Linked DNA regions of Drosophila melanogaster. The protein of the gene in region 1 interacts with the protein of each later gene in a biochemical or structural test. Each region holds a gene or a part of one and is shown on either strand. Other genes may lie near its edges.

Region 1 (8,011 bases):
CTAATATTATATTAAGTACAGCTAAATGTCTGGTTTTCAGCTCTTCGAGTACGAGCGTCTCATCAAGATCCTGCTGCACGGCGTTTCTAAGACGGAGCAAGAGGGATTTGTCCAGCGCATAGCAATCTACCTGCTGAACACACTCGCTTGCCAGGTGGATGGGCGACAGAAGCTCTTCCTGGGCGAGTTGGGCGTAGTTAGTGTAAGTGTCTTGCCTATCAACTGTTTGCCGGAACTTATTGTACTTATTGGTGATATTCTTGACTTTAGACCATGTTCACGTTGATAAAGGATCGGCTGACTCGCTCCGTTTTCGACGATGTGATGGAGGTGGCTTGGTCCACCATGTGGAACGTAACCGATGAGACTGCTATTAATTGTAAGAGATTCCTCGATGGACGTGGCATGGAGTATTTCCTTAAGTGTTTACATGTAAGTTCTCCAAAAACTTGCCATTATCCGCAGCGCAACAAAGATAAGATTGGGAACTAAAATATTTAATTTAAGAGCTGCATAGAGAAAGCGAACAAATGTATACTCCTTGGTTTCATGAAGAAATAGGTTAACTTCCTGTATCCAGACTTCTTAAGCTGAACTGTCCTTTTCCAAAACAGACCTTCCCGGATCGTGACGAGCTGTTGCGCAACATGATGGGCCTGCTGGGCAATGTGGCCGAGGTGAAGTGGCTGCGGCCCAAGCTGATGACCCAGGAGTTCATTGAGGTGTTTGCCCGTCTGCTGGACTCCCTGAGCGATGGCATCGAGGTGGGTGGTGCTAGTGCGAGTGTGGTGGCGAGAGTGCGGGAGAGAGAGATGGCCAGTGCTAACCATGCCTACCTGCGCTTCCAGGTCAGCTACAATGCGGCTGGAGTGCTGGCGCACATTGCCTCGGACGGAGCGGATGCCTGGACGATCAAGACGCCCAGCCGGGAGCACGTGCTGGAGCGCATGGTGGCCGCCATTCAGCGGTGGAACATCAAGAGCGAGCGGAACATCAACTACCGCAGCTTTGAGCCGATCCTCAGCCTGGTGCGCTGCTACGAGACGCCCCAGTGCCAACATTGGGCTGTTTGGGCCCTGGCCAATCTGACACAGGTGGGGGAGCAATTCCTTTTCCCATTGTTGGTGCATTGTGTACTAACTTCTGCATTCCGTCACAGGTTTATCCCGAAAAATATTGCAAGCTGGTGGAGCAGGAGAACGGCATCCAGATCCTCAACGAGCTAATCGAGCACGAGAGTCCCTACTGCGAGATCAAGCGCATCGCTCGCCTGGTCATAGAGCAGTGCGACTCCGGATCGGAACGCATGGTCGTCGACGGCTAAGCGGATATTTAGGATAACACGTAGCTTTAGGAGTCGAGTTTGTTGTAATGTTTTTTTTCTGCTTCCTCTGTTTCCCGTTTTAAAGCAAGTGCATGTGTTATGTGGTTCAAGAGATTCTTCCTTGACTTTTATGTTTACAGCGAGAGCAGCAGATACATAGATGCAAGTTTAAACTATGCGAGAGTTAAGCAACTAAATCTAATGATGCAGAAATATTCGATAATTACATAATTACTAGATTATATATGTATATGATGTATCACATGTTGTAAGCCAGCGATCTTTTTAGGCCTTCAGAAGTGTAAATATTGTTAAAACCGGAAAGAGGAAGACATTGGAGTAGCAAGCAAGGCTGCTGGAGATTAAATAAATCCTTAAGAATTGAATTCCCCGTGGATCGATAGTTCTTTCTCTAGCCACATAGACGAGTGTATGGAATCTGTTCTTTGAATTGTGGTCATCATACGATGCTCACTTAACCCCCCCACATTTGCTGTGCTTTCGCATCACGAACCCAAGTAGCTGCAAGTTCAGGATCGGATCGTTCAAAATAATCTAGCTATATAATCTAGACCACTAGGCTAGGCTTAAGCAACTGTAAATATATTGCAAGTAACAGTTTTGAAAGTTCTGCGCTTGGCATTAATATTTATAACAGTGTACGTTACCATTAGTTACCTTACATTACGTATATACATATATATAATTTGATTCGTAAGCGACATCACGCCTGTGTCTTACCAAAGACCCTAGAATAACAAGATGCGTAACGGCCATACATTGGTTTGGCACTATGCAGCCACTTTTTTGGTGACGGCCAAAATTACTCTCTTTCCGCTCACTCCCGCTGAGAGCGTAAGAAATCTAAAAATATAATTTGCTTGCTTGTGTGAGTAAAAACAAGAGACGAGAACGCGTATAAGTGTGCGTGTTGTGCTAGAAGACGATTTTCGGGCCAAAATCAATTCTGATCGAAGAAACGAATTTACATGGTACATATTAGGGTAGTTTTTGCCAATTTCCTAGCAATATGATAAAATAAAAAAATTTTTAAAAATTCGCGCCCTGACTATTATAATTTTAAAGCTTTTTTAAATTTGTTTGTTAAAATCGCCGCTTGAATTAGCTACCGTTTACACATTTATATTTATGTTTAATTCTAATTTGTCTCTCATCTGACAATTTTTTAAAAGCGAAATATTTTTTTGAAACACTTTTAATGTTAATGTTACATCATATTAAGTCAAATGATTTAATAAATATACTAAATAATTAAATATGCAATTAAATTAAATTGCAAAAGTAATATCAAAGACAATAGAATTATTCTAGTGTCTTTGCTTTGTTCCACGGCCAAAAAATCGTGTGCCAAAAAATCGTATGGCGTTACGCATCTTGTTATTCTAGGGTCTTTGGTCTTACACTTTCCTTACCATCCAAAATCACACGATTCTTACAGTGGAACTTTTCTTAAGTTTATTATTTCTGCTTTTGATCGATTAAAGTAATTTTTAAAAATATTTTGGTACAGCTCTTACTCAAATAAAGCTCAGGAACTTCCATTTAACTTATCTATTTGAAATCATTATTTTTTTTTAGACATCATTAAAGAATGAATGCATCACACATTTAAGAAATCTGTTTTTATCATATTTAAAACGGATTTTTTGAGTTTAGGGCTAGAAAGTTTTCCAAATTAAAAGTTTGCTCTACAAAATACATTCATTAATTCGACTTCATTCATAAAACATCATTTCACAATCGCAACTTTGTAGCACAGTGTGGAGTGGAGTGTGCCAACCAGAGCTTTGTCTTCATCATATGTATGTGATATGAGTAAGTTTCAATAAAGCTGCATCTCCCGTGCAGTTTCATTCATCAAGTTTTCAGCAGTGAATCACTAACTAGTATGAAAACTAGTGATGATTTTAACATTGGCATTCCACGGTGCAAGTCGCGGGGTGTGGGGTGCGTAGCCGCTGTTATTATCGAAGTGCAGGGTATGTAAACATTAGGGGGTGTGAGTGGCCAGCTCTGGAATTGCGTCATGCGCCCCCTCGCAGAGCGGGTGGGTGGGCGCAGGGGAGGAAGGAAATGCCAACGGGTTGGAAATGCTTTCCAAGCTGAGCGCATGTGCCGTGGGAATCCGAATCCCCTGCATCCCCCAGAGAGACACTCTCTCTTCTCAATTTTGGCAGCTCTCCTTGGTCAGTTGTCATTTTGCCGGCGGAAAGTTCGCGTGTTTGTTTTTGCCTGGATGTAAATGTGCAATAGTTTTGCGTTCGCGGGTGCAAGCAAAACGGTAAATAAAAGTGAAATAAATGAAATAAAGAAAGCCAAAGGCCAAGCAGAGAAGCGCAAGCAAGAAAGTCCTGTGAACCAAATAGAAAGCAAAACACACGGGGGGTAGCAATCAAGCCAATTCTCCTTCAATGGAAGGAGAAGAATGCGCATTCCATTCATTCGCTAACAAAACCATTCAATCAATGCCAATTGCCTAGTTTAATTCAACAAAATGAAAACAAAATTGTTCCGGCAATTGACGAGGCGTAAACAAAATGCAAAACAATTGTTTGCCAGCCGGATTCTGCGCAGTGTGCCTTATATTTCCAGCAGGATCAATAACCTTCTTATCAGCGGAAAATAAGGGAAAACGACAACAAACCGTTGACTTGGCAATCAAAACAAAGGGCAAAAGCAAAAAGGAAATTTGTTTGCCGGCCATGAAATAGACTATGGTATTGAAAACCAGCAGCCTATGATTATCCGGAAGTATCTCTCTGGGCCCGCGGAAAGTGCAACAATTCTAGTAACGTCAAATTGCAACAAACTGATTTCACAGGCCCCCCCAACCCCAACAAACAGAAAATCTTAATTTCTTTTCTTAAGAAAACGAAATGAATGAATTATTTTTTTTATTCATCTCGACACAACCTCGGCGGCACTCGAACCGCCACTCGAAAAACGTGAGCACGCGTGAATCGACATCTCAGCGCACTCGACCAAATCGGTGGTGGAATTTATGTCGTTCAAACTGAACTGCCTCCAAAAGAGCTTTTGAGTTAAAGAGATTGAAAAGCTCTGCACAGTGGATCCACTTGGCGAATTTCGAAAACAAACATTTTAAAAATATATAACAGCTATTTACTTTTTTTGTTTCAAATTATTATTTAAATTTCTACAATATTGGGGAATAAAAGGACAGACAAGTTCGGAGCATAATACTTGATAATTACTTTTCCGCAGCTGAACTCTAATCGCTACAAACACTGCCAAACCACAACACAACGATCCGCCCTGATCCCAAAACCAAATCTGGATAGCCAGGAACAGCAGGATGTGGCCCGGCTCCGAGCGAGGAAGCTCGCGGGCCCTGGAAATCCCAACCAGCCAGCAAAATGCCGGCGGTAGTAGTCAGCAGGAGACTCTGGCCGACATCGAGCACATATCCACCATTGCCGGCTCCCTTGCCTCCATTGGATCCCTCTCGCACACCCAAATGCGCTATGTAAGGAGCCGGAGTTGCTTGTAAAGATCGTATCTCTAACTCTAATTACCCGCAGCAATGCACCAATGATGCCGGCTATGATACGGAACACACGTCCCTGAACTCGGACTTCGATGAGGCCGAGCTGCGACGGGAGCTACTAAGAGATGTGAGTTCCAATACGAAAATCCTGAACATTACTTATTATAATTCCTTCTTTCTTCACTTTACTTACAGAAATGGAAACTGCTCTTTGACATGGTGAGTAAGCCAACCCAAAAAGGAATACTTATAATTATACTTATTTATAATTACTTTTCACGCTTTGCAGTTCGATCCCGAGGGTTTTGGCGAAATATCAGTCGAGGAATTCCTGGAGGCCCTCAAGTCGCCGGAGTTCCTGTCCCAAGTGCCTATGAACAAGCGGGAGCTGCTGCTGGAGCGGGCAAAGAAGGCGAAGCTGCCCACAGGACCCGGCTACGTGACGTTCCAGGACTTTGTGAATGTGGTGAGTGTGCCGTGTGCCGCAATTACAATCGCCGGTGGTCACTGGCCAAGTAACCAAAGTAACCAAAGTACCCAAAGCACCCATGCCATGCGTATATTTGTCCCGGGCTGCTCATCAACGGCAAACTCGATTTAAGTGCAAACACAGGTGCAAAGTACTCACCCAGGACGAGGTCCAAAGTGTAGGCTCGTGTTCAAACAGACGGAGGACAAGGCCTCGTCCTGGCAGGAGCCGCACTCTTGTTTGGCAAATGCAAAAAGTGCGCTTGGCAAATAAATGCGCCGCTTACGCTTACACTGCGAATAAAAGGGGGTTACTTACTTTTATGCTAGTACCTATGGACACCTTGTTCCGGAAGCAGCAATGTATTTGAATGAAATACACTGCGCATTAAGTTATTTGAAGGATATACCAAGGACATCGATTGTAGAAAAAGTTAGACCATAGTTTTTCTGTATGTAAGCCCACGTCTCGTTTGCTTCCTTCGCCACGCTTGGCCAGGCATTTGAGTGTTTGTCCTGGTTACCTGGGCACTGGCTATTTGTCCTGATGTGGTCCGAAAATACTACCTTGGACTTGAGCTGTGCAACTGGAGGGGAGTGGGCGGCAGAGGTGACTTCTGCGAGCGAATGAAGCGCTTTTCTCGGCTTTTCCTTTGATTGGCAGGGCAATCCTATTGCATTTTGATTGATTCTACCCAGTTGATTGGCACGCACACAAACCGCACACGACAAAACACTCATGCATAATCAATTGCACAGTGAATATTCCTTCGCCTTGGCCGTTCGATTGTTTGCCAAAGTGTCCTTAAAGTCATGAATTAGCCAGGCCGACGTGTCCTCATTTGCCCCTGTGTGTGTGTGTGTAAGTGTGTGAGTGAGTTTGGGCAAAGACACTAGAATAACAAGATGCGTAACGGCCATACATTGGTTTGGCACTATGCAGCCACTTTTTTGGTGACGGCCAAAATTGCTCTCTTTCCGCTCGCTCACGCTGAGAACATAAGAAATCTAAAAATAGAATTTGCTTGCTTGTGTGAGTTAAAAACAAGAGACGAGAACGCGTATATGTGTGCGTGTTGTGCTAGAAGACGATTTTCGGGCCGAAATCAATTCTGATCAAAGAAATGAATTTACATTGTACATATTAGGGTAGTTTTTTGCCAATTTCGTAGCAATATGATGAAATAAAATAATTTTTAAAAATTCGCGCTCTTCTTATTATAATTTTAAAGCTGTTTAAATTTGTTTGTTAAAATCGCCGCTCGAATTATCTACCGTTTACACATTTATATTTATGTTTAATTCTAATTTGTCTCTCATCTGACAATTTTTTAAAAGCGAAATAATTTTTTTGAAACACTTTTAATGTTAATGTTACATCATATTAGGTCAAATGATTTAATAAATATACTAAATAATTAAATATGATAACTGTTTATTGCAAAAGTAATATCAAAGACACTAGAATTATTCTAGTGTCTTTGCTTTGTTCATATCTTGAGGCACGAAATGCGGACACAAGCACTCAACAATCATTGCCTTATTAATTTTTCACACGCCGCAAGATGAATACTCTAATGACAAATATTCTTATATAAAGTCATGTTTGAAATTGATTTTTGTGATAATATGTACATAGATTTGGCTTTTTCTAATCTATTTTCAAATAATAATAACGTTAAGGCAATGCAAAACAAGAATTTTTCGCATGGTGCCAATTGATAAAAAATAATATAGATTTAAAGTCTAAGAACTTCTACGGTGAAGGGCATATTTTGTCAAATTTACAATGCATGAGCATACGTGTGCACACATAAAGTTGTCTGCTATCACTGTATGCGTAGAAAAGAGCGGTTCGCTGTAGCGCTCTTCGCTCTCTCGCTCTCTAACAAAAATTCGAGAGAGCCTGGAGCCACCTCTAGAGCCACGGCCAAAAAATTGTGTGCCAAAAAATCGTATGGCGTTACGCATCTTGTTATTCTAGTGTCTTTGGTTTGGGTGTGTGCCTAACGGTAATTGCGGATGAGACCCGGGCCATTCTTTGCACAATGGATTTCCATTCCACATTCCCCCGGCGAGGACATTATTAGGTCCTTGTTTGGCCTGCTAATGCATTTGTTATTCCAATTGAGGGCTCCGTTTCCCTCTATGTCTCTCTCTCTCTCTCTCTCTCTCGCCTTGGCGAGCCATTCATATCTTTGCCAGCAATCTGAGATCCTTGTTGCCATCGTAGACAACATATTTCCACTTAATTATAAATTGCAATGATCTGCCGGACACGGGAGGGCATATTAACCAGGACCTGGCGGTGGAATCGCCAGGAATCCAGGAATGCCGCGATGCGATGTCCAACCTGGCAATGCGCCATGCATAATGCAGGCTGATGATTGTTGCATTTCCAACAAAAGCTCGCACGTGACAAATCCTTTTATGGCAGCGCACAGAAGTCGGGCATGTGGATGCGGCGAGGACGTGGTCCGCAAGACGCCACCGAGGGGCACGACGTGTTGAACGTTATGACAACTGGAGGCACGAGGCGCGCTGGCGACTGTCGTTTGTCTTCCTCGGCCCAGTCTGCATCTGGCCGCCACTTGGGTTCCCATTCCCAATCCCACTCCCATTCCTATTCCCCGACTCTCGACCAGCCATCGGACATCGGACATCAGGCACAGCAGGCGACGGCAGCCGGT
Region 2 (6,253 bases), on another chromosome or scaffold:
CTTGGAGAGTTAATTGGGTATACGGTGATGGGCTCTTAGGCAAAGAATTTTTCCAAAATACACTTTGCATAATTACTCAAATAAATTGCCTCAGAAGCTACTTTACTCGTTTAAATCTTAAATTAATATTATTCCATTAATGTCAAGCCACACAATACAAAATTCAATAGGAATCACTCACCTATAGCTGTCATTGCAAACAAATGATATTACCTATTGGACTAAAGGGTATATCTGAGTAGTTACGCTTCGTAAAAAGGGCTCTCTCTTGTTTTGGTTTTTGTTTTGGTGTTGCCAGAAGATTTCGCACGATGTAGGATCAACATGTTATTGACACGACGTCGCCGACGCCGCCACTTTTAAGCTTGGCGGAGCAAAAGGCACACAAACAAGAAGCGACGCAGAGCGGCGGTGCAAAAGCACAAAAAAAAAGAGGAAAAATGCGCTCGAGAGCGGAGGGCGTGGCGGTGCGCAGGGGCGGGGCAGGTAGCCGGACAAACAGGACGAACAGGATGAAACCCAGACGAGTTCGGCCCCACTGCAGATTTCATGGAACTGGCCGAAGGTTGAGGATGCGGATGCGATGCGCAGGCGCGCAAGTAAACAACATTCCATTCCTCGGGAAATTTCTTCTGGCCGCTCGAGAAGCGCGCCAAAAATAAAGCTCCGACCGATGTCGTTGCCATAAATATTGCTATTTTGACTTTCCAGATTCTCGCGATTCAACGCCCCTTGAAATGGGAGCAACTTGCTGGAGATTCGCGTATCAGGGCTGGAAGAGGGTTTCTCCAATAACTGCACATTCACTCAAAAATATGGTAAAAAGGTGTGCTGCAGCTTCGAGAGCTCCCAAGAGGTAACTTTATGTTATAAAATTACATATATTTATTTTATGTATATATTCTGGGAAAATCCATACGCGATCTAAAACATTTGGGGCGCGGTTTTCACAGGTAAATGAGATTTTGGAATTCCTTTACTGAAATGCCAACGTCGATGTCGTCGATTTTTTCAAAAAATCACAAACATCGATGTTTTTCGAGGAATCATCGATGTTTCTCCACCTCTAATAAGGCGGATTCGACCTATGTACATGTACTGCATGTATGAAAGCGGCACAACTACCCGTTTCCGGTGGGCAGTCGGTCCGCAATGTGGGCCGCAGACACCATTCCACAGCCAATTGACGTCACAAGCGACACAACAGCAACAACCTGGCACACGCTTTCTGGGTTATGTCGGAATGCATCCAAAAGCGGGAGAAAAGTAGAAAAAGGCAGGAAAAGAAAGAAACCAAGAGTCACCCGGATGGCAATTCGATTCTGGTGAGATTTGGACAATCAATCGGCTTAGTTCACAGCCCAGCGGGACGGGACTCAGTGCTACAGGTTCAACTGTACAATAATACCAAGAAGATGACGACGATGACGATGACGATGATGATGGGGGATGGGCGATGGGCAAAATGTTAATGGATTGCCCTAGGACCTGCCCTCATTCCGTTTGCCATCTTCGTCGCTTCGCTTCTGCATTTGTGCATTCCCATTCCCAATCCGATTCCCCCATCAAGTTGTGCTTCTTTGCCACACCGCTTTTCTGCCCCTTTTGCGGTGTTCTGTTGCTTTGTTGATGTTACAATTGTTGCACTTGTTGTGTGCGGCTTAGGACGTTGAACCACAGCCGGCAGAAATGCAGAAATGCACGCAACTGAGTGGCAAGTGTACAGCTGCAGTCACAGCACTAGCAATGCTTTGCGAAGGATTCCTCCAGACCGCTTTGTAATTGGTTTTCTTTCGCGTAATTTGGCCGATATTAGTTAGTTCATATCTGCAATCTAAATGTTACGAACCAGCAGAGTTCCTAGAGCCCTAGAGACATTAATGTACTTTTAATTGCCCCACTGTATGAATTTTTTTCAGTGCATTCTTGCAATTTGCTAACGTTTTTACCGCCATTACCGTCATTGTCGTATATATTTGTATGCTCATTCGGAAAGCCAATTCGAAGGCAATGCTAATAAAATCAATAAACAACATTACTGTCACGCACACATACATACATACATATGCATATAGCTTGGATGTCCGGTTGAAACGATGACGATGAAAGGTCACGACGAAGAATTTTTCGCCAATTGCCTGGTGGGTCGCACAGTCTGGGTCGCGAGACGTCTGACTAGACAACATGCAAATAGTAACGGTAATCATTAGACGCACACACTCGCACCTATTTGCATGCACACTCTCTCTGGCTGTGGTTCTGGTCGTGGGCCCCCATATTTCATCTATCTCGCGGCCGCTCTTTCTTTCGCTCACCATTTTCTATGCTGAGTTCGACGGCCTTCTTACGTAAAATCAACAACAACGCTCTGCGGTATTTCTCTTCTAATAAGCGGGTGCTTGGGGCTTGGGGTTGGGGGGATGTGCACTCGCCGACAGAGTTGCCATATCTAGCCAGACATCAAACTCGTTTTCACTGTTTTGGCTCCACACACACACACACACACGCATGTGAGTGGCTTTGCAACTGTACAAGAACAATAAGTAGGGGCAGCATAAAAGCAACAACACACGGCGCAGACGCCAAGCAACCGCTCCCCTCCCAACGCTCCACTCAATGTTTGTCTGTCTGTCCGGAACGTCTGTTTATGTATGCTTTAGGCGTATACATGCATGAGTGTGTGTGAGCAATTTTTATTTTTCTGAATGTAAAGGAAGTGGCACGTACTGTACTACTCAACTCACCGCTGCCGCAACAACAAGAGCAGTGACAGCCGGATCAGGCTGGGAATTCGAATAAGAGCGGAGCGCGTCGCATTCGGATGTTCCGATTCCCCATCGTTCCCAGCCGCAAAGCGGTCAGCGTTCCAATGCCAACGGCACAGTGGTTGCGATGCGTAAGGTAACGTGCTACGGAACCGAAACTCGCGGATGATCGTAAGTGGGAGATATGTACGTGGGATAAGAGCGAAAGTAGACGGATATCCGATTTGCAAAAAGATGTAGTATTAATTTAAAATGTTTAGAATAACAAAAATAAGCTAACAAAACTATAACCATGACAAACTATGACGATAACAATATATTTGCTATGCGTTACGATTTACAAACTTTGAATACTTTTTAAAAGATGCTTATTTAGGATCGATCCATTGTGCAGCGAGATGAGCGGAACGAAAGGCGAAAGGGACGCTGGTTTGCGTCTCCGCTGTACGCCAGACAGACAGACAGACAAGACGCCGCAATATTATAAACAGGAAATGGAATTTACCCACACGGATGCAGCGCGGTGAAGTGTGTGTCTGTGTAAATTGCTGATGAGCCGACAAACGGACGTGGTGCTCAATTGACAGATGAGCACGAGAGAGACAGGCAGAGCATAGCACACCGCCGAATGAGCGAAGGAGAAGGCCAGAGCGCGCTTCAAAGTTGATTGAAATCAATATACGTACATACGTATGTATACACACATAGCGTGCCGGTGTGAGTGTGCTAAGACCGCTCGTGGAATGTTTGAAAAACGCGGTCAAGCGACGGGAAGAGCAAGAATGTTGAACTCTGGAAGTGGGAAGAAGTTTCTGTAAATAGAAGCCAGGTGGAAGGGGCTTTTGCACCTGCCACGCCCAGCAGCCCCTGGAATCAATTAACATGTTGCACAACTGCAGCGGCTCCTATATACATAGTTCATATAATGTACTTGTGATACAGTGACTTACGCACACAGAGGTGCAATTGCAGATGGCGACGAGTGTAGCGTGTAGTTTTTCTCGGAAATGAGCAATGAATGAAATTCGGTTGTTTTCAGTACTCACACGCACACGAACGCAGATGCATACACTCGCAATTTGGAGCAAGAGAGAAAGTCTGCACGACATGCGCTCTGGCGTTTGTGTGTATACAATTTGCTTACTTTTTGCGCTACAATTGGCAAATAAAACAATAGCGCAATTTTACGCAGCACTTTAGCTTACTAACCCACATTGATGGCTCCACAAAGCGAGCAAAATAATTTGTCTGCCTAATTGAAATAAAATAAATAAAACTAAGCAGAAAAAATGTCGGCAAAAAACAAGGCGCAGCTGTATTGTGCGCTAGTGTGTGTAAAAAGGAGACGGCCATAGAAAAAAAAAACACATATACACACAGGAGAATTTACTGCTGCTTGCGGCGCCCACACACACATACACAAAAACACTCGCCTATTTAGTACAGCAACTGCGTAAATTCAATAAAAATAGTCATCTGGAGTAAAAAAACCCAGTTTCCTGTCTTCATTTCCCTTTTTCCGTGAAGGTACACAGTCACTACTGTTATAATTTAGCACACACACTCGCGCATTTATGTATGCATTTGGGTTGCTTTCATTTGGATGTTTATCACTTACTTTACCACTTACTTTGGGATTTAGCTCTTCGTTTGTCGCACTTTTTTGGCCTGTTTTCATGCCATTTTCTTTTTGAAAAACTGAAAGAGTACAATTCGTTGTGTCGCGTCTTAAATGAACAAGTGTTGCCAGACTTTAGCTGGAGGGAGATGACACTATCGCGAGGCAGCATAAAAATCAGTGCTGTAAAGCGAAATTAAAAAAAATATCTGATAACTTTAATATTAGTTTATTTGTTTACTGAATTTTACATTTTCTTATGTACTATAAATAAAAATCAATTCATAAATTTATTTGAGAGGAGTAAAACAAGAAGAATCCACCTAAACATTACAGACTTAAGTTCTAAATATCCCAAACGTTGTTTAATTTCTATTTATATTTGTAACGATTAGTTAGTTATTAGTAATAATGAAAGAACTAGTGATAAAATCCATTTGTAATCACTGCTAGAATTGGCTTGAAAATAGCTAGACTGACGTTAACAATACTGTTACCAGTTGGCATTTCCTGATCCGGCAACTCCACACGACGCCATTTCAAAACAAATGCGCGGCAACGATTTTATTTTACCCCGCAACATTTAGTGAGAAGTCGCAAAATAAGTCAGATTATTTGATTAAAATGGGAGCAAAGGCAACAAAAATGGAAGGTGAATATCTGCCGGATACGCCGACACTAAACAAAATGCGCCTGGCCAGCGAAAAGCGAGAACAAATGGAAATGACGACGCCGAATCGAGAGCAAAACAACGCTTTGCTCGATCCTCGATCACCAAATGGCTGCCGCACGCCTTTAACCGTGAGTTTATAGGCATTAGGTATTTTTTGATATTACTAACCCTAGTAATGATGGCTGCGTTGTAGTTCTTGCAGGCGTCAAAACCTCGCGTTGAGGAGGAGGAGCAGCATGTGACCACCAGTGAAAATGCCTTCTCCATGCTGCGAAAACGTTTGCTCAAGGGCTTCTCCCTGAACGATCCTCGCTCTCCTCAGCTGAATCGCACTCCACTGGTCCTCGATGAGGTTCGTTCGCTTAATATGGATGACACATTCGCCGATCTCTTCGTGGACACCAGGGTGGGTACAGCACAGAGAGCAGTGCCTGCATCACCGCCCCAAGTGGATTTAGAGGAGAGCTGCGATAGCTTCGGCACACCGCCGTCTGCTGCACACAACAATATTTCCCTGGAGATTGTTTCACTGCCCTATGATCAGGAAGAAACCTTGCCTTGCGAGCAACAGCTGCTGCCGTATCAGGAGCCGAATCTGGAGCAGGGCCAGGTGAAAATGGCCACGCCCCCGCCAGAACAGCAGCCCCATGGTGATCCCCGATCGCCCAGCCTGGGCGTCGATCGCACACCCATCATCTTCTGCGACGACGAGGAGGAGGAGGCACGCGAGGCCCAGATGCTGGAGCACATCCTGGAAACACTGACCCTGAATCTCAGCACTGGCAGCAGCATGGCCTCCTTTGTCGCTGGCGAGGAGCAGCTACCAGAAGTGCCGTCGAACAAACATTTGGAGCGAGTGCGTTTGGGTCACAAGCGTCGTGTGCCACCGCGCAAGCCCGCCAGAGCCAACAAGCCAAAGATCTATGTTGACCAAGAGGAGGGGTCCCCGGTGACCGGAGGATCCATTACGCCCAAGACAAACAGTACCCCCCTGTCCGCACAAAAGCGAACTCCACTCAGTTGCGTTAAGAATAAGCCGCATCTGCGATCCCGTTCAATGGAAAAGGATTCTAAGAAGAATCAGATTCCGCCCGCGCAGAGCTTCAACGATCAACTGCGGATAATCTCTGGCACAGAGGGATTCAGCGGACCCGTTTACTAACACAGCTTAGTAGCTACTATTGCCTTATGTCCATC
Region 3 (8,469 bases), about 16 Mb from region 1:
ATACAAAGGGATTAAACATAGTAATTAAACGTTATAATAGGCAATAATCATATGTTCTAGCAATAGTTGTTTGTGTGTGTTTAGCATTCGTATTACTGCTGGCTCTTGTGTAGTTAATTAATTAAGTACCACAGCGTAAAATGGGCTCAACAAAAGATATGGGTGGCATACTTTTCTATCTCGACCCTTTATAATTTTGTATCCCATTTATTTTTTGGTTTGTTTTGTGTCTTTGTTTCAAGTGCATGGGCGCCACTAAAAGGCCTAGGGAGATTTTGTGGGGGTGTAGAGGGATCAATTAGGGTGAGATATTTATATATCCATACACATTTCACATACATTTACAATTATAATCGATTGGGGGAGAGCAGATGCGAAGATGCATTCGCCTTTCACTTTTTAACACACATTTTTAACGTCTCTAGTTAACACAGAAACTACAAAAAATGATAACCCACAACTCGGATAGCTCTCGAAATCGAATTTTCTTCGCAACATCTAAGCCGCTGCACCGTTTACAATTTACAATTGGCTTAATGTAAAACTGTTCAATACATTTAGTATTTAAAAGAAAATTGAAACTTTCTTGAAAGCTAATGCAATTTTGGACTTGCGAGATATCCCAATAAGTTTGTGACTTGAAAGTGTAGTAAACGGATATACAAAGTATATTTTTGAATAACATTACTTCTATTTTAAAGAAATTGATTGACTAATACATTTGAGGGAATACTTTCAAGTCCATAGTGATTTCGAGAACTCTGCAAAATAAGTTCGCGTTGATTTTTCGTGTGCTGGGTCTGGGGAATAGAGGGTGTTGGGATCGGTTGGTTGGTAGCATTCGAGCCTCCTAGCCACCCACAACGTATTTACAAGACGACCACTGGAAAGCCTCCAGGTGCACCTAGTAAAAGAATAGCAGCCGTTCCTGGGCAGAGGCGGAAAGGAGGCGCCACGATCGCTTGATGCTGACATACTGTATTAAAGCGCGTATGCTGATCAGGAAGCCAAAGGCACAGATCAGCCACCAGAGCCAGGAGTTTTCGTGCGAGGCCAAGTCCGTCGAGTGCTTCACGATCAGCGTCCATTTAGCCAGCGACAATCCGAATCCCGACAATGCTCCATATCGGGCGGCGATTGTGTGACAGAAACAGGTGAGCATCAGGAAGCCGATCCAGTTAAACAAAAAGGCCACAATGAAGGCCGTGATGAACATGATGTCCGTGCCGAGCAAGTTGTCGGTGGTGGACAGACTATTTTCCGGATCGCTGGCATCGATGGCGATGAACGTGAGTGCCGGCTGGGCAGATCGCACAGCAGCGGCTCCATCGCGCAGCGGATTTGGCGGCAGTAGCGGATTCGGCGGCGGCGGTAGCTGCTGCGAGGAGGGTAAAGTCAAAAAGGCGGGCGGCAGCTCTCCGTTCAGCGACTTTTCCATTTGAACCTCCTCGTACGTGGGCAACTTCCCGTGTATTTCTGGCGGCAGTTGTGCATTCATAAGGTCCGCCTGGCTCGGCAGCTGCACTTGCATCTGTATCGGGATCTGACTGGGATCGGGTGTGGCCAAGGCCAGCGGTGGCATCTGAGCCGGCAGTGCTACCTGCTGGCCATGGCCAACGTTCGCCTCGTACGGTGGCGGAGCACTGAAGTCCGCCTTTGGCGGTCCCAACTGATCATCCCCGGGAGACGGCTGGTTGTTGTGCGGCATGACTGGAAATTACAAACGGAAAACGGGAAAATTAATTCAGTGCTTAAGGGGTTACAAAGCATATGAATTTTTTTGACAGCCTAAGGTGACGTCTCAGAAAAGAAGATTCTTAAGAAATTCTTTTCTTTCTTACATACTAAATTTAAGATATCCTTATTTTCGTGTAGCTTAACAGATCAACTGTTTAGTATTTACATGCATCTCTGAAATAAAAGGAAAATCAAGGCCATGGTGAATTTTGTGCAAACTATTCCCAATCAAATTCTAAAGGTATTCGAAATTTGCATTATCTAAATTGAAAGTAAAGCTGGTGATTTAGTTCTCGCTTTTATTGACGATATTAGTTCACGCGTTTTTTTTTTTAATAAAATTAGGTGTATAATAAATAAATGGGCGGCTAGCTGCCAAAATTGCATTGAATTATATCTAGATTTATTTTTATCTCTCTCTGAGCAATCAGTTTTCGTTCGTTAATACTTGATCTAAATGTGTTATAGGCACGTCAGTAGGCACTTAGAACTACGGCATTCGCCATCTCAATCAGATGGCAAAAATAATAGTTTCGTTTAGCAGTTAAAATAAACAGTTGGACATGTTAGACATTTAAAAACAAATGAGCAGCCAGGCTAATTAGTTAGCGCAAAAGTTCGTTGCAATGCCTGGGGCGATTGGAGGCTTTCGCTTGAAGGTGGGCCTCCTCCAGCGATAGGATGCGGCAGGGTCCAAAGGGACGTCTCACTGGACGTAAGGGTCGCAAGCCATCCACCTCGTCCATGCCCTCGTTCTGACAGCCACCGTCGGTCGTTGTGGTTGTGGTGCTGTCGTGCAGCTTTTGTTTTTGCAGCTTCTCGTGTCGCAGATACAAAACCACACAGCACATGGCCATAAACAGAAGGGCCAGCGTTGCTCCGCTAACAATGCTGGCCTTCTCTAGCATCACACGGTTCCTGGTTGGCAGGTACGAGCCATCAATCTCCTTGTACTCGCACCTCGGACCCATAAATCCCAGCGCACATTCGCAGTTGTATAGGATTTCATTGTGGATCTTCACCGTAAAGCAGGTGCCATCGTTCAGGCAATACCAGGCGACATAGGTCGGTGGACAGGCGAAGATCGGGAAGGTGACATTCGGTCTCGGCGTTGTGGATATTTCCACATTATCCGGCGGCAGGATCGGTGCAGCTGTTGGCCGCGGCTTAGCGATGGCACGCGAGGAACAGGCGGCGGTGAGCGGTAGGTAAGCGCCGATTAAAGCGGTGGCAAGCAGCAGCAGATCCTGGGCTCGCATCTTGATCTTAACTCATGGCAGCTTACTTGGGAATGTGGCAATGCAGTTTAAGGTGTTTTGTAATGTGGAATTCTTGGCTTTGGCTGGCAGGCGGCTGCAAAACAAAAACGAAGTGCAATTAAAAACAAATCAAAAATGTAAGCTCGTGTTCGGGTCTGTGTGGGTTAATTGCCTGCCTAGCACCGCCAGCCGCCTCCTTCTCACAATTACAACCTATGCTCCTCGACCTAAGTGAGAACGAGAAACAGAAAATCGAATTTCATAAATTTTTAACAAAAAAATGACATCGTTTATTTACCTGGCCGGAATCGCGAGCGGAACCCAAGCGGCTGTGGCATTTGCACAGCCTGCATTCATTATCAATTGGTTTTTCTGTTTACACTCTCACTTAACATAGCGAACACTTCAGGCACTTCAATATATAAAAACTGTTTAATACAAGATGTATTTAAACGTATAAAAAATTGATTTAACCTTAGGATTTCGAAACGCCTTGTTATAAACAAGATCTTTTCCGGAGAAAGAATGAGCTTCATTAGAATGTAACTGATCCCGTTGCGTATATAAACAAAATAATTCGAATGATCAACAGAAACAACGATGTTGAGTAATTCTGCTGAAACAAATACATCATTTGTAAGCAACATTTGAGTGGCGACCATTTGAGTGGGCGTAAAAAACATAAACAAATTAGTGCTCGCCTTAGTTGTGATCCACAATAACAGTGTCGTTTTCAGAAACACTAATTTTCGGAATTCCACTTAACGTAAATTAAAACTTTCTAAGTGCTTTCAATAAACGCTAGTCATGCCAACTTAACTGTCTAAATTTATATTAGGAAATATGTCAGTGAAATTGAACTATTTTTTTATTCAAACATGCAATATTACATTATTAATCAAAACTAAAGTTATATTCTTCTACTTGGAAGTGAAGGAAAGAAGAGCGAAACAGTTGCAATTATAATAAATATACACTTCGTTTTAAAAAGTTTTGCTTTCGTCACCTGTTTGGATGTTAGCACATTAAATCTAATATTTGTACTTTATTTCAAACAGTCAATTATATATAAGATAGCATTTAGCTTTTATTTTCTAGGACTCTCGTCACTAGTCGGAATCTCAATCCACAGTCGCGAGTCCTTGGACTAAACCGTGTCCAATTGCTTTGTAAAGCTCAACGGAGCCCTAAGCCCCATAAAATTTCCCCTTTCCTCCCATCACATGTGTGGCACGCACCTACGTCTAAAAATAACAACAACAAAGCTCACGAGTGAAAGTTGACAGCTGAAATGGCAGGAGAAGAGTGCGAGTGCGAGTGCGAGTAGGACAGTGCGACAGTCGCAAAACACAAATGCAATTAAGATGACCTTTCGGTCAATTGAAATATAAACGGAGCCAAACGAGCAAAACAAAAATAGTTCAAGCCAATAAAGAAACTGCGTGAGTGGGCTTAAGTTGGCCCTAATTTCTGCGAGTGCATATATGGGTTTTTTGTATAGTTTTTTTTTATATCTGTGGGTATGTGGGTGAGCCGGACGTAAGCTTGAATAATGAGCTAATAGGCGCCAACGAGCTAAATGAGCACCTGGTGGCTTATCAAAAATTGACCTCACAAACAGCAGAGTACACAGAAATAAATTTTGATATCATATATGATATGATTTTTGTATCAGAATACAAAAGACTTTGGTTTCATATGCACTCAATAATTACTTTTGTATACACACTTTAAAATACTTCAATAAATATAGGAAAACATAAACAGTACTATTTGTATAATTAAATTTAGAGGTGTCCAATTTTTTTCGTGCGCAGGAATATCTAAAATCACAGTCAACACAGAGAAACCGTATTGATAAGGTGACAAATACCATCCACAGGTGCGGAAAGCAAGTGGATGCTAGGCAGTAATTACAGTTACCTGTGGATGAGTCAGATGTGCGGGCATTTGAAAAATTGCAAAATTGCACGAAACCGAGAGATTGCACATTGTACAGTTGAACTTATCTGCGTTTTGCCAATACATTTGGTAATATCATTTTAAATAAGACTCTATAGTGACACACAAAGATTTGGAGGATTTCACAATCAATCCCAATGTAAAGCGACTTTGCTCATTCTTATTTTTTAAGAATTCACTAACAATCGGGCTCAAGTACACTTATCGTTAACATGCTTCAAAGCTGGCATATAATTATTTTCAATGTAATATATACATATAAAAACTTAGGTAAGGTTCTCTGGAAAATACACTGGTTTTTCCATTGAAAAACAATAGATGTTTAAACCGAATAAATCGATTTGCTTTTAATGCGTATGCATTCGGCTAAAAATAATTTTTGAATCTTTAAAATAAATAGAAAAGCTTTTACATTTCTAAATGTCAACACATATGGAATTACCTTTGAAACAGATGAGAAATTTTGTGCAAAATATATACATATTTTTTTTTAATAATTCCATCTGGATTTGTAATTCCAAAAGTGTTTTTGTATCTAACAATATACAGTATTAAAAAAACAGTATTTGGTATCTATAGAATAATATGTGGTTTGTCATAGCCAAGTTTTACTGCGTATGCGTGTATGTAAAAATAGGATTGGAGAGGGAGTTAGAGCTCTCGAGAGGGAGAAAGCAACAGGGCCGTGACAAAAGGCGTTGGAAATTAGGGAATTGCCGTGGAAAAGTAACAACGCAGTTTGGGCCAGGTTTTGGGTTTCAGCCGGAGTTTGTTCGGTGATAAGAAATTTGAGCGCGTGGACAGCTGCCAAGCAGCAGGTGTGCGCAAGGGAGAGGGCGATAGAGGAGGCATCAGTGGAATAAAGCATAAAGTAAACCAGTTAAACGGGACCGGGAGCACAAGAGAGAGGATGAAGATGCAAGCGGAAGAAGCTGAAGAAGATGCAGATGGAGCTGTCTGAATGGAAGGTCTCTCAAGGGGCAATTTCCTGGATTGAATGAAAAACACACAGGCACCGACAGCTGCAGTGGTATTGCAGTGGAATAGAGAAAGAATAAGATTAGGAGCGAAGAGGGGAGGCGGTCGACTGCGAGAACGAGTTTCCAAGCAAACGGCGCTTGTTGTTATTGTACAAGGGCAAATGAATTAATTTACTTGAGTAAATATGAATTAAATAAACAAGTACACCGACACAGGGGTAGACTTATCGGAGTGTGCACTTTTTTTTTTAGCGTTTAGCACCTGAGTGGCGAAATCTAGCAGAATTAAGATTATTAATGTGCTAAACAAAACATAAACACATGTACACACACAAACGCACAACTGGGGCTAAAGTGCTGAGGAGGGGGAGAGAGAGCCTTAAATCTCCAGGAGTGCTCCTGTAACGGTTATTTGTTTCCCTTTCTTCGCCCTTTCTTTTCACGTCTATTTCTGTACCCGATTTTAATTCGATTTGATTCTAGTTCGCCTTTTCTATGCCATGTTCTATTTATTCACCTTGTTTTCTTCTATGCGTTGGTCGATTGCGATTGCGTTCGCTTTTCTCTTTTGCGCAGCGCTCTCTCACGTTTCCGTTTTATTGATTTTGTTCGAATTTTGTTGACTTGTTGTTGCCAAACACGCACACAGCTAATACTGTTGGTTTTTTGGCAGAACTGCGACAGTAGGCGTTTCGCTTTCAAGTGGCTTCACTATACGCAATTTAAATAATTTAAAACTGGGCTCACTTCGCGAGCGAAGCGAAAAAAACAAATGCACCACCACGAATAATCTTCGATTTCTGAGCTAGTGGTGGCCAGCTGCTGGGCAGTCCGTATCGATTGTAGGGATGTAAGCGTGATAAGCTATCGAATCACATGAAATTAGTTATTAACATCGGAAAATAAACTTGCGTACTTGAATATAAAAACCTGAAATTATTTTGTACACTTTTATAGTGACAAAAGTTTCAAATTGCTGAAAAAATATCAAGAAATAATAATAATAAGTTTATTAAAGCTGTTCAAAAGTTTGATTAATTGTCTAATTCATAAACAGTATACGGAATACCCTAAACGATGAAAAGACAAGCAACCCGAATATAATCGATAAGCCTAAATAATGTTATTTTCCCTTCTACTCATCACTAAGCTAAGAAAATTTTGTAAACAACGACGTGGACGTAGTAAATTTAATTAGAATTTAGCCACAAAAATGCATAAATGTGCTATATTTCTTCTACTGGCTTTAAGTGTAAGTTATGTCTGAAGCTAAGACATGTTTTTAATATATATTTTATACCCTACAGTGCCAGCAAATTCAAGCCGAATTGACGGCCGCCGACTGCCGGGCGTTGGGTTTTATTAAGGCCCAGTTAATGTGTTCCAGTTGCGAAAAACTGGATGATTTCGGATTGGATACCATCAAGTGGGTTCAATAACATTTAATTAATCTAGCTTTGGAGTTGTAAAGATACCCATGAACTATGCTATAATCATTCCATAAGAAGACCTGAAAATTGTTTAATTAATATGTTAATCTAATTAGATCAGGTTAAATTTCATACCTCATTTTAAATATTCCAACCAAAAATGCTTAGCTTGACTTAGTAAGCTCCTCCATACCACTGACTAAATATGATTCTTCCTTCAGTTTTTAATAACAAAAATTATATTAACTTTTTATAGTTTCTGCTTGAGCCCATTGCTCTTTTTTATTCATCCAAAACATTTTTAACATTTCAGGCCTCAGTGTAAGCAATGCTGCACTTTGGATCAGCAGCCGGCGGCACAGCGGACATATGCCAAGGCAATTCTGGAGGTGTGCACCTGCAAATTCCGGGCCTATCCGCAGATTCAGGCCTTTATTCAAAGCGGCCGACCTGCCAAGTTCCCCAACCTGCAGATCAAATACGTAAGAGGACTGGATCCCGTGGTTAAGCTCCTAGATGCCAGTGGCAAAGTGCAGGAGACGTTGTCCATAACCAAGTGGAACACAGACACTGTCGAGGAGTTCTTCGAAACGCATCTGGCCAAGGATGGTGCCGGCAAGAATTCGTACAGCGTGGTGGAGGATGCCGATGGAGATGACGATGAAGATTACCTGCGAACCAACAGGATCTAAAATAAGCATACCCAAAACTGTAGATTAATAAAATCCGAAACAAAACTATAGACCGTACCATTTTCTTTCAAAATCATTGAATATTTATATTTTGTTAAATATATTCTGTTCAAGAACTAAAAATGTGTAGACGTGAGATTAGTACTCCAAACTTCTGGGATGTCAAGCCACTGAATTTAAAAAATATAAACATCAAGATCAGGGATATACATAAAATTGGCTTGTAATATGAGAGATCTAATCTAACTAAAGAGATTTAGTTTTTAAAAGTTTTTAGAGCCACTGCAAGGTGGCGTGAGCTTTTCTACGCGCCACCGCGGAAAAGCTGTGGACACAGTTTGAGAGTAACTGACAAGCCAGTTACTGCAATGCGACGCCGTGGGAGTTTTCGATTCATAAGTATAAATTA

Evidence for each region. The genes of interacting proteins can lie anywhere in the genome.
Region 2: of the proteins of stet (region 1) and spi, one has a biochemical effect on the other in vitro, tested with the Drosophila melanogaster proteins (2 studies listed by BioGRID).
Region 3: of the proteins of stet (region 1) and Krn, one has a biochemical effect on the other in vitro, tested with the Drosophila melanogaster proteins (one study listed by BioGRID).

Annotation. Positions count from the first base shown.
Region 1 is NT_037436.4:1,485,067-1,493,077, reverse strand, and holds the start of stet (stem cell tumor), read left to right. Parts: upstream 1-3,530; 5' UTR 3,531-3,626; intron 3,627-4,032; exon of another isoform or gene 4,033-4,172; intron 4,173-4,246; exon of another isoform or gene 4,247-4,339; intron 4,340-4,570; 5' UTR 4,571-4,661; coding exon 4,662-4,832; intron 4,833-4,887; coding exon 4,888-4,980; intron 4,981-5,048; coding exon 5,049-5,072; intron 5,073-5,142; coding exon 5,143-5,319; intron 5,320-8,011. Other genes in the region: CG12084 (uncharacterized protein), read left to right, coding at 41-202, 271-432, 615-1,094, 1,160-1,324.
Region 2 is NT_033779.5:19,572,791-19,579,043, forward strand, and holds the start of spi (spitz), read right to left. Parts: upstream 4,526-6,253; 5' UTR 4,396-4,525; intron 2,798-4,395; exon of another isoform or gene 2,745-2,797; intron 1-2,744. Other genes in the region: msb1l, read left to right, coding at 5,008-5,184, 5,250-6,218. UniProt on the Drosophila melanogaster protein: Ligand for the EGF receptor (Gurken). Involved in a number of unrelated developmental choices, for example, dorsal-ventral axis formation, glial migration, sensory organ determination, and muscle development. It is required for photoreceptor determination.
Region 3 is NT_037436.4:17,647,537-17,656,005, forward strand, and holds Krn (keren), read right to left. Parts: upstream 6,745-8,469; 5' UTR 6,456-6,744; intron 3,091-6,455; 5' UTR 2,997-3,090; coding exon 2,343-2,996; 3' UTR 2,026-2,342; downstream 1-2,025. Other genes in the region: Ndfip (Nedd4 family interacting protein), read right to left, coding at 905-1,708; CG7484 (uncharacterized protein), read left to right, coding at 7,152-7,190, 7,246-7,364, 7,682-8,060.